2 linked regions of the Callithrix jacchus genome follow. The protein of the gene in region 1 purifies or fractionates together with the protein of each later gene. This does not show direct contact. Links are inferred from orthologs where the notes say so. Each region holds a gene or a part of one and is shown in the gene's direction. Other genes may lie near its edges.

Region 1 (4,161 bases):
GGTCTACCTAGAACATAAACTTCCTAGGCCCTGTGTTCCAGTGGGGGTTTCGGTGTTTAGGACAGAGTCCCTTTCCCCTCTGTAGTGTTGGGTGTTCATTAATCACTCTTGAAGAGGTAAGGGGCTGGGCCTCAGCCTCCCCAGAGGCCATCAGTGGAGAAGGGTCTCGCTGACCTCAGATCGTGGGCATTTCCACGGCACACCATCCCTCCCAGTACGCTCTAGCAATAGGAAGGCTGGGAACGCCACCCAAAGCCACACCGTTTTTGCGGTCTGTGTATTTGGACGCCTCCCCAGCACCCAGTCAACGAGTTTCTTTTTCCACAGCAGTCAGTCACTCTCGTGCAGTGTCAGTGATTTATTGGTGTTTCAGCTAACCCGGTTACTCTCCATTTCAGCCATCAAGGTCTAGGGAGCCACTCCATTCCGAGGAGCCCTCAGCCAGCCTCCTTCCTGGTCAGCTCCTCCACTTTGGCCACGTAGGCCCTCATGGCGTCCATCCTGGACAGCCCTTGGTTCGCAGTCCACGCCTCCCACTTGGCCTTGGCTTTCAGGTCAGAGGCGGGAGGCGCGGGGAGGTGGCAGTCGCCCCGGGTGGCCTGCTTGTACCAGCCGTAGAGCAGCAGCTTGTCCTGGTCGCTCAGGGGGCCCTTCAGCTGCTTGAGGGCGGTGCGCGCCAGCTCGAACTCCACTTGGCACATGGGGCGGGAGGCGGCCGGGCCTTTCCGGGCGATCCGGGTGCTGGAGGCCGGAGGTGGGGAGGTAAAAAGGCCGGCGTCAGACCTCCAACTCGGGGGCAGGGGACGGGCGGCGCGTGGAAGAACACGCAGAGTCTGTATTTTCTTCTCCGCGACTGCAGGCCCGGGAGCCAGTGTCTGGGTCTGTCCACGATGTTTCTGTGGAGGAGCAGACGTGAGAAGCGCCTCCGGTCCCAAACGCGGCCGTCCCAAGGGGGCGGCGCGGCAGCGGCGCGCACAGAGTGCGAGCGTAGGACGAGCTGGGCGGGAGGAAGCCGCGCGTGGGGAGGCCGCGCTGGGTGGGGGCGGACAGTGTGCGGGACGCGCCCGGGGTCACCGGATGAGGGTGAATGCGGAGCCGGGGCTCAAGCCGGACGCACTGGGACCCGGAGGCAGGCCCGGGAGCAACGCCCGATACCTGACGGACGGGAGGCCTCTGCGAGGAGGCGGTGCTGTGGCTCTGCGCGCTCCTCCGTGAGGACTGCGCTTGCGCGGGGGGCTATGGGCGGGGACTGAGCACGGCCGCCGTGGCGCCTGCGCCGCCCATTGTGCCGTGCGTTCGTCGCCGCGCCCGCGTTCTCTGAGAGGGAGAGCCAACCCCGCGCAACCGCCCGCGTCGCTACCATGGACCTAGGTGGGTGCCGCGCTCCCTGCCCGGGCTGCGTCCCTCCACGCGTCAGCAGGGCGGTGCTCCCTGGCGCGTCTCCTCCCGCTGCGCGCACTGATGGGCCCAGGCGGAACGTCCTCCGCGTCGGGGCGGGTCTGGGGTTCCGGGTGGCTTTGGCTGGGGACCCGGGCCCGGCCTCGGGAGTCGCGCCGCGGAGTGAGGGTGGAACCCTCTGGGCCGGCGCACGTGCTATGGAAGCGCGGCTCCTTCAGCGCCCGGACTGCCGCGCTCCTGAAAGGCGCGTGTCTCCTGTCGTCCGGCTTCGTCTCGGCGGAGCGGGAGGGGGACGGTGCGTCTGCCCCCGAGGGCTGCGCGACTCTCCACGGAGGCCGCGGGCGTCCAGGTCCCGCGCAGAGTTGCCGGGGCGGCTGCGCGCCTCGGAACCGGAGTGGTCGGGGCCAGGCCCGGAACACGGAGCAGGTGGGCGGGCGTCCGGAGAGCTGGGGCCGCGGCGCTTCGGCACCAGCTCTCGGGAGCGGAATGGCGTCCGGGCACCCTGAGAAAAGCGTTTCTGCAGCTTCGTGTTCGGGCCTTGAGCGGGAACGGCGTTGTCAAGGTGGTCGTGATGCGTGAGGTCTCGCATGTGACCCGGCGCGGGGCTGGCGCGGTGAGCGCGGAACCACCCGGTAGCCCTAGCTCTTGGCTCTGGCGCGCGCTGGGCGCCGTTCCTGACCGAGCGCCGGCGGGTTTTCCAGCCGTCACTGCCCTGGCGCTACTGCTGCAAATGCGGCGGACTGCCTGCGTTTGGAAGGCGCGCGTGGATGGCCAGACATTGGCCCAAAGAAGCTGATAACGCAGTAAAATTAAATTTGCAGCGCTAGGGGGGGCCGCATTTTGGGGTTTGGGCGAGCCTCCTGACGGTAACCCTAGCGAGATCCCTCTGCAGCCTCGGCCTCAGCCACTGTGAGCTGAGGTGGATTTTCTCCGCAAATGGGTTACATGGGAGTGCTGAGCGCTGGGCCTGTGGCTGCTCCCACACATGGTGGCAAGGGCAAGACAGTCCTTAGTCTCCTGGAATCCGTGTTATCTCTGCTGATGTCTGGCCTGTAAAATGGAGACTGAGCTCTCAGGGGCATGAGAGACTGAGGAAGAAGCATCTCTTGGTCCTAGAAAAGGGAGAGGACTCAGGAGTGGGGAATAGTGAGCAGTGTCTATCCTGGGAAAGGGAGAAGACTAGGGAGTGAGGAATGGTGAGCATTGTCCCGATCCTGGGAAAAGGAGAGGACTCAGAAGTGAGGAAAAGTGAGCAATGCTTGTACCCTCGTTTTACTTCCTGGGCCAAAGGAAACATACCTGATAAAAACCTATGTCCTTTGATGTTTCTGAGCTGGGGCAGGCAAAGAACAGTGACAGGGTTTTGATCCTGCCAATGATGAGAAGGTTTGGGGAAACCAACATTGACTGAGCCCTGATCAGGCTCTGTAACCTGATTCTTAGTGTAGCTGTATCACATTTATCCATCACAGCGTCTCCAGGAGATGGGGTCAGGAGATAGCAGTACTAACCCACTACCAGGGGCTTGACTGGTATGCATCATATAATCCTCAGAGTCGTAACAAGAAGTCTGTATTATCCCCAAAGCTGCAGAAGGAAGGCTTGGAGAAGCAATCTGACCATGATCACATCCCTTACCCACCCCCCTTTTTTTAGGGGTCTGGGGGGGTCTCACTATGTTACCTTAGCTAGTTTTGAACTCCTGACCTCAGGGATCCACCTGCCTCAGCCCCCCAAGTAGCTGGGATTAGAAGTGCTAGCCACTGCACCCCTGGCCAGAATCACATTACTTTTAAATGGCTGATCTAGGAATCAAACCTATGTTTGATTAAACATCCCAAGATGTAAGTCTGTCAGTTATTCCTTCTCTGCAGGAAGGACTTAATTTAATGAAGTATTTTCTGTATCTACTCCCTGGTTTCTCCCACAGAGCCTGGGCCATGAGTAGCTTGTCTTTGGAAGGAGCTGTGGGGTGGACTGTTTCCCTGAAAGGTAGAACAATGTTTGAAGCCTGCTCCCAAGGCAAGGTTATGAAGGGCGAAGGCAGGGCTTGTCTGATTGCTTCTGTGCCCATTACCTGTGGCCATGTGATTGCTTCAGTGCTCATTACGCTATGGCTGTGTGATGGCTGCTGTGCCGTTACCCTGTGTCTGTGTGATGGCTGCTATGCCCATTACCCTGTGGCTGTGATTGCTGTTGTGCCGTCACTCTGTGGCTGTGCCCATTACCCTGTGAATGTGTGATTGCAGCTGTGCCCATTACCCTGTGGCTGTGTGATTGCTGCTGTGCTGTTACTCTGTGGCTGCATGATTGTGGCTGTCCTCATTACCCTGTGGCTGTGTGATTATCACTCTTCCCCCTTCATCTGTCATGAGAAACTCAGCTGTCATGTCCTGTGGTACATGCTCAATAGCTCTGTCGTTTGTACTGTCCTCGTGCTATTTCTGAACCTCTCTCCCCACATCCTCCTCTGGCCCATCCTTTGCTGAAGGGTTTGCCCTCAGCAGCCCAGCTTGTTCTTTTTACTTTTCCTGAGGGATCTCATTCTCTCTTGGTTCCGGTGATCCCCTTCTGGGCACATGCCTCTCAGAGTCACATTTCCCAGCTGACTTACCCCCTGAACTTCCACCCGGCATTGCAACTGCTGAAGGACATCTCCTCGATAGCCAAAATCCAGAATCACATTTCCCAGCTGGCTTTTCTCTTCAACTTGCATGGGGCATTTCCACTGCTGGAGAACATCTGTGCCTTGATAGCCAAAAT
Region 2 (4,091 bases), on another chromosome or scaffold:
CAGCTCACTGCAATCTCTGCCTCCTAGGTTAAAGCGATTCTCCTGCCTCAGCCTCCTGAGTTGCTGGCCTTTTTCTTGAAAATTAGTCATTTGAATTTTGCAATAATTTCTATAGTTATTAAACAGGCTATTGAATCCATCCACAAAACTTAAAATGCAATACTTAACAACAGGGCCTTAAATAAAATAAATGCCAGCTCTCTGATCTCACGGCCAACAACCTGAGATTCCTGCCATCTGGTCCCAGTTCAGGACCTTTGCGCCTGCTGTTAACCCTCCCCGTCCCCCGATCTTGCTTCTATCTGGCCTTTGTTCAAATGACACTTCAGAGGAGCCTTCCGTTATCACCCTTTATAAAATGGCCTCACTCTCACTTCCCATCCCTTTACTCTGCTCTGTCCTTCTTTATTATGCTGGTCACCATCTCAAATTATTATTATTATTTTAAGATAGAGTGTCGCTCTTGTCACCCAGGCTGGAGTGCAATGGCGGTGATCTCTGCTCAGGGCAACCTCTGGCTCCTGGGTTCAAGCGATTCTTCTGCCTCAGCCTCCAGAGTAGCTGAGGTTACAGGCTCACACCACCATGCCCGGCCAATTTTTGTATTTTTTTGTAGAGACGGGGTTTCACCATGTTGGCCATGCTGGTCTCGAACAATTGATCTCGGGTGATCCGCCTGCCTCGGCCTCCCAAGTGATGGGATTACAGGAGTGAGCCACCGGGCCCAGCCCTTAAACTATCTTTATTCAGTCAAGCGCTTTTATTGTCTCCCTCAGTACAATGTAAGCCCAAGCAGGAGAAGACTTTGCTTTAGTCACGTGCTGTAGCCCCCAAAGCCCAGACAGTGCCTAGCACATACGAGATGCTCGATGAGCAGTTGATTGAATAGATTAGACATCAACGCAATCAGGCTATTCACTTAGGGACTCTTTGCTAGGCGGCGGAGAGGTACGTTACAGTACTCTACACAACACGCATGCGCGAAAAAAATCAGGGAAGTGTGATCGGGAAAGGGGCGGAGCGTCAGAGAGAGTCTCGTGGACATAGGCGGTTCGGAGCGGAAAGCGGCAGGTGGAGGGGCGGCTTGGGGCTGAGCGCGCGCGCGCAGCGCAGACGCCAGCTCCAGGAGACTGAGGTACTCAAGGTGCCCGAAGGCGGGGTAGTGACCTCGCGCGTGCGCTTTGCCAGCGACGGCTCCTGGGCCTGGTGTGTGGGTAGGTCTTGGCCTCTCGCGGCGCATGCGCAGTGCTGACGGCGGAGGGATTTCAGGTCGAGACCCACCCCCTGCTCCAGTCGGTAGCTGAGGCCGCGCGGGTTGTTGAGCAGCGGCCTTGTGCGCTCGCTGCGCGGGCAAGGGAGTCAGGCAGACGCGGACGCCGTCGGAGTGGAAGCCAAAGCGGAAGTTCTTGTTGCTGAGGGGCCGCCGCAGCCGCCCCGAGCCTCCGGACCGACGCCAGACCCAGGAGGGCGCCGCGCGGCGAGTGAGTGTGGCCGAGTGGTCCGGGGTGCTGGGCCGCTACCCACAAGCCCCTGCGGTGGGCCCCGGTACTTTTACCTGCAGCCAGGCCCCTTTGCCGCGTCCCCTGCTGCAGGTCCCTTCTGCATCCCTTTCCCGAAACCCGAGCCCTCTGCGCACCCACGCCTGCTTCCCGTAGCGTCCTAGGTCCCCTACCCACAGGCCCTTGCGGTGTATGGCCTTTTTTCTTTTTCGTCTTTCCATGTTGTCCTGGACCTTTACCCATAATTCCTTTCGTCTTGGGGGCGCCCAGGTCTGTTACCCACAGGCGCTTGGCTTTGGGGCTTCGCTGCTTATGTTTCTCTTTGCCCGGAGACTTCAGACCTCCAGGCCTCTGCAAACCGCATCTCATAATTTGTCCTCCAAGATACGAGACGAGCAGCCAGCCACAACTGCTCTGTGCCTCCTTTCTCGGGTCCTTGATTCCCCCAGAAATCCCCAGGGAAGCTCTCCGCCACACAGCTCGTGGGTCAGGACTCTGAGACCTCACTGCTCAGGAACCCTTTTCCAGCCTTTGTTTTTTGTTTCCTTTACGGGCCTGATTTTCACCTCCACCCCCACCAAGAGATGCCCTTTTCTCTTCTAGCGTAGGACGGTTCTCTGCCCTTTCAGAGCCTCTTCGAATTCCGAGACTTTACTCCTGTTTTCTCTCTTTTTCTTTTTTTTTTTTTTTTTGAGAGTCAGGGGACAAATAGGGGCTTTCTCTGTGCAGACCCAATCTAACCTAAGGCTGTCCTGCTTCTGCTCTCAGACTTGGCAAGATGACCCAGTTCCTGCCGCCCAACCTTCTGGCCCTTTTTGCCCCCCGTGACCCTATCCCATACCTGCCACCCCTGGAGAAACTGCCACATGAAAAACACCACAATCAACCTTACTGTGGCATTGCGCCGTACATTCGAGAGTTTGAGGTGAGTTCACTGAGCAGGCCAGGAATGGTTTGGGTTGTGGGGTGCAAGGATTGGATCTGGGAGTCCAGCCTCTGACTGGATTTGCTAGCTGTGTGATTTAAGCGACTGGCTTCATCTTTGTGATCCTCAGTTTCCCTGTTTTAAATGGGGTTGGAGCCAGGTGTGGTCGAGTGCACCTGTAGTTCCAGCTACTCAGGAGGCTGAGGTGGGAGGATTGCTTGAGCCCAGGAGTTGGAGGCTGGATTGCTTTGTGATTGCGCCACTATACTCCGGCCTCGGTGACAGAACAGGACCTCATCTCTTAAAAAAAATTTTTTTTTTTTTTTTTTTAAAGTGGACTTGTGGCCAGGTGCGGTAGCTTATGCTTGTAATTTCCAGTACTTTGGGAGGCTGAGGCGGGTGGATCACCTGAGGTCAGGAGTTCAAGACCAACCTGGCCAACATGATGAAATCCTGTCTCTACTAAAAATAGGAAAATTAGCTGGGCATGGTGGTGGGTACCTGTAATCCCAGCTACTCGGGAGACTGAGGCAGGAGAATCACTTGAACCCGAAGGGCAGAGGTTGCAGTGAGCCCAGATGGAACCGTTGCACTCCAACCTGGGCAATAGAAAGTACTGTCTCCGAACAAACAGACAAAGTGAGGCTGGGCTCAGTGGCTCACACCTGTAATCCCAGCACTTTGGAAGGCTGAGGCAGGTGGATCACCTGAGGTCAGAAGTTCAAGACTAGCCTGGTCAATATGGTGAAATCCCATCTCAACTAAAAATACAAAACTTAACCGGGCGTGATGGTGCTTGCTAGTCCCAACTACTTGGGAGGCCGAGGCAGAAGAATCACTTGAACCCGGGAGGCAGTCATTGCAGTGAGTCGAGATTGTCCCACTGTACTCCAGCCTGGGCAACAGAGTGAGGCTCCCATTTCAAAAAAAAAGTGGGGTTGATGGTATACCTTTTGTAGAATTTCTGTGAGAAAGTTCAGTTGAGTAGTGGTTGAGGATTCACACTTGGCTTGCACCATTTAATAGCTCTGTGAGTTTGGGCAAATGTGTATCTTAATGCATTGGTTTCTTTATCTTTAGCAAGGGGATAGTGGTAGCACCCCTCATACTGTTGGTGGAGAATTAAATGGCAATGTGTATGTCAGGGGGCTTGGCATCAAGCAGGCAGCCTATGTCGGCCTTTGCTACTCTGTTTACTACTTTTATTGTTAATAAGATGGTGTTCATAAAGGGCTAGCACCGAGCGTTGGAGGGCTTAAAACCCCAGACCAGGATCTTAGTTCTGCACCTTCAGGGTAAATGACTTCAGGAATGAATGACTTAGGCTCCTGGACCTCTCTGTTTTTATTTGTGAAATTGGGATGACAATGGTCATCTTGTAGGCGTATCTGAGGACACCTGAGGAAAGCTGGCACACAGCCAGAAGTTACAAGAACATTCTCGCATTGGGTAGGAATGGGCAGCTGGAGGTGGAGGGAGTTGCAGAGCAGAACTTCTTAGATAGGACGGGCGTGGTGGCTCACACTTGTAATCTCAGCACTTTGGGAGGCTGAGGCAGGCAGATCACGAAGTCAGGAGTTGGAGACCAGCCTGGCCAATGTAGTGAAACTCTGTTTCTACTAAAAATACCAAAACTACCTGGGCGTGGTGGCACGTGTCCGCAGTCC

The links. Proteins that work in one complex are often made in the same cells at the same time.
Region 2: the proteins of GEMIN4 (region 1) and SNRNP70 purify together in Homo sapiens (affinity purification with mass spectrometry; 5 studies listed by BioGRID and IntAct, counting the BioPlex papers as one, with this or other methods). This does not show direct contact. The link is inferred for Callithrix jacchus from reciprocal best matches to the Homo sapiens genes GEMIN4 and SNRNP70.

What each region holds. Positions count from the first base shown.
Region 1 is NC_133506.1:63,630,167-63,634,327, forward strand, and holds the start of GEMIN4 (gem-associated protein 4), read left to right. Parts: upstream 1-1,361; coding exon 1,362-1,824; exon of another isoform or gene 1,825-3,287; coding exon of another isoform or gene 3,288-3,420; exon of another isoform or gene 3,421-4,161. Other genes in the region: diazepam-binding inhibitor-like 5, read right to left, coding at 438-701; uncharacterized protein LOC118153659, read right to left, coding at 778-896, 1,156-1,363. UniProt on the Homo sapiens protein: The SMN complex catalyzes the assembly of small nuclear ribonucleoproteins (snRNPs), the building blocks of the spliceosome, and thereby plays an important role in the splicing of cellular pre-mRNAs.
Region 2 is NC_133523.1:42,899,841-42,903,931, forward strand, and holds the start of SNRNP70 (U1 small nuclear ribonucleoprotein 70 kDa), read left to right. Parts: upstream 1-1,291; 5' UTR 1,292-1,485; intron 1,486-2,267; 5' UTR 2,268-2,277; coding exon 2,278-2,424; intron 2,425-4,091. UniProt on the Homo sapiens protein: Component of the spliceosomal U1 snRNP, which is essential for recognition of the pre-mRNA 5' splice-site and the subsequent assembly of the spliceosome. SNRNP70 binds to the loop I region of U1-snRNA.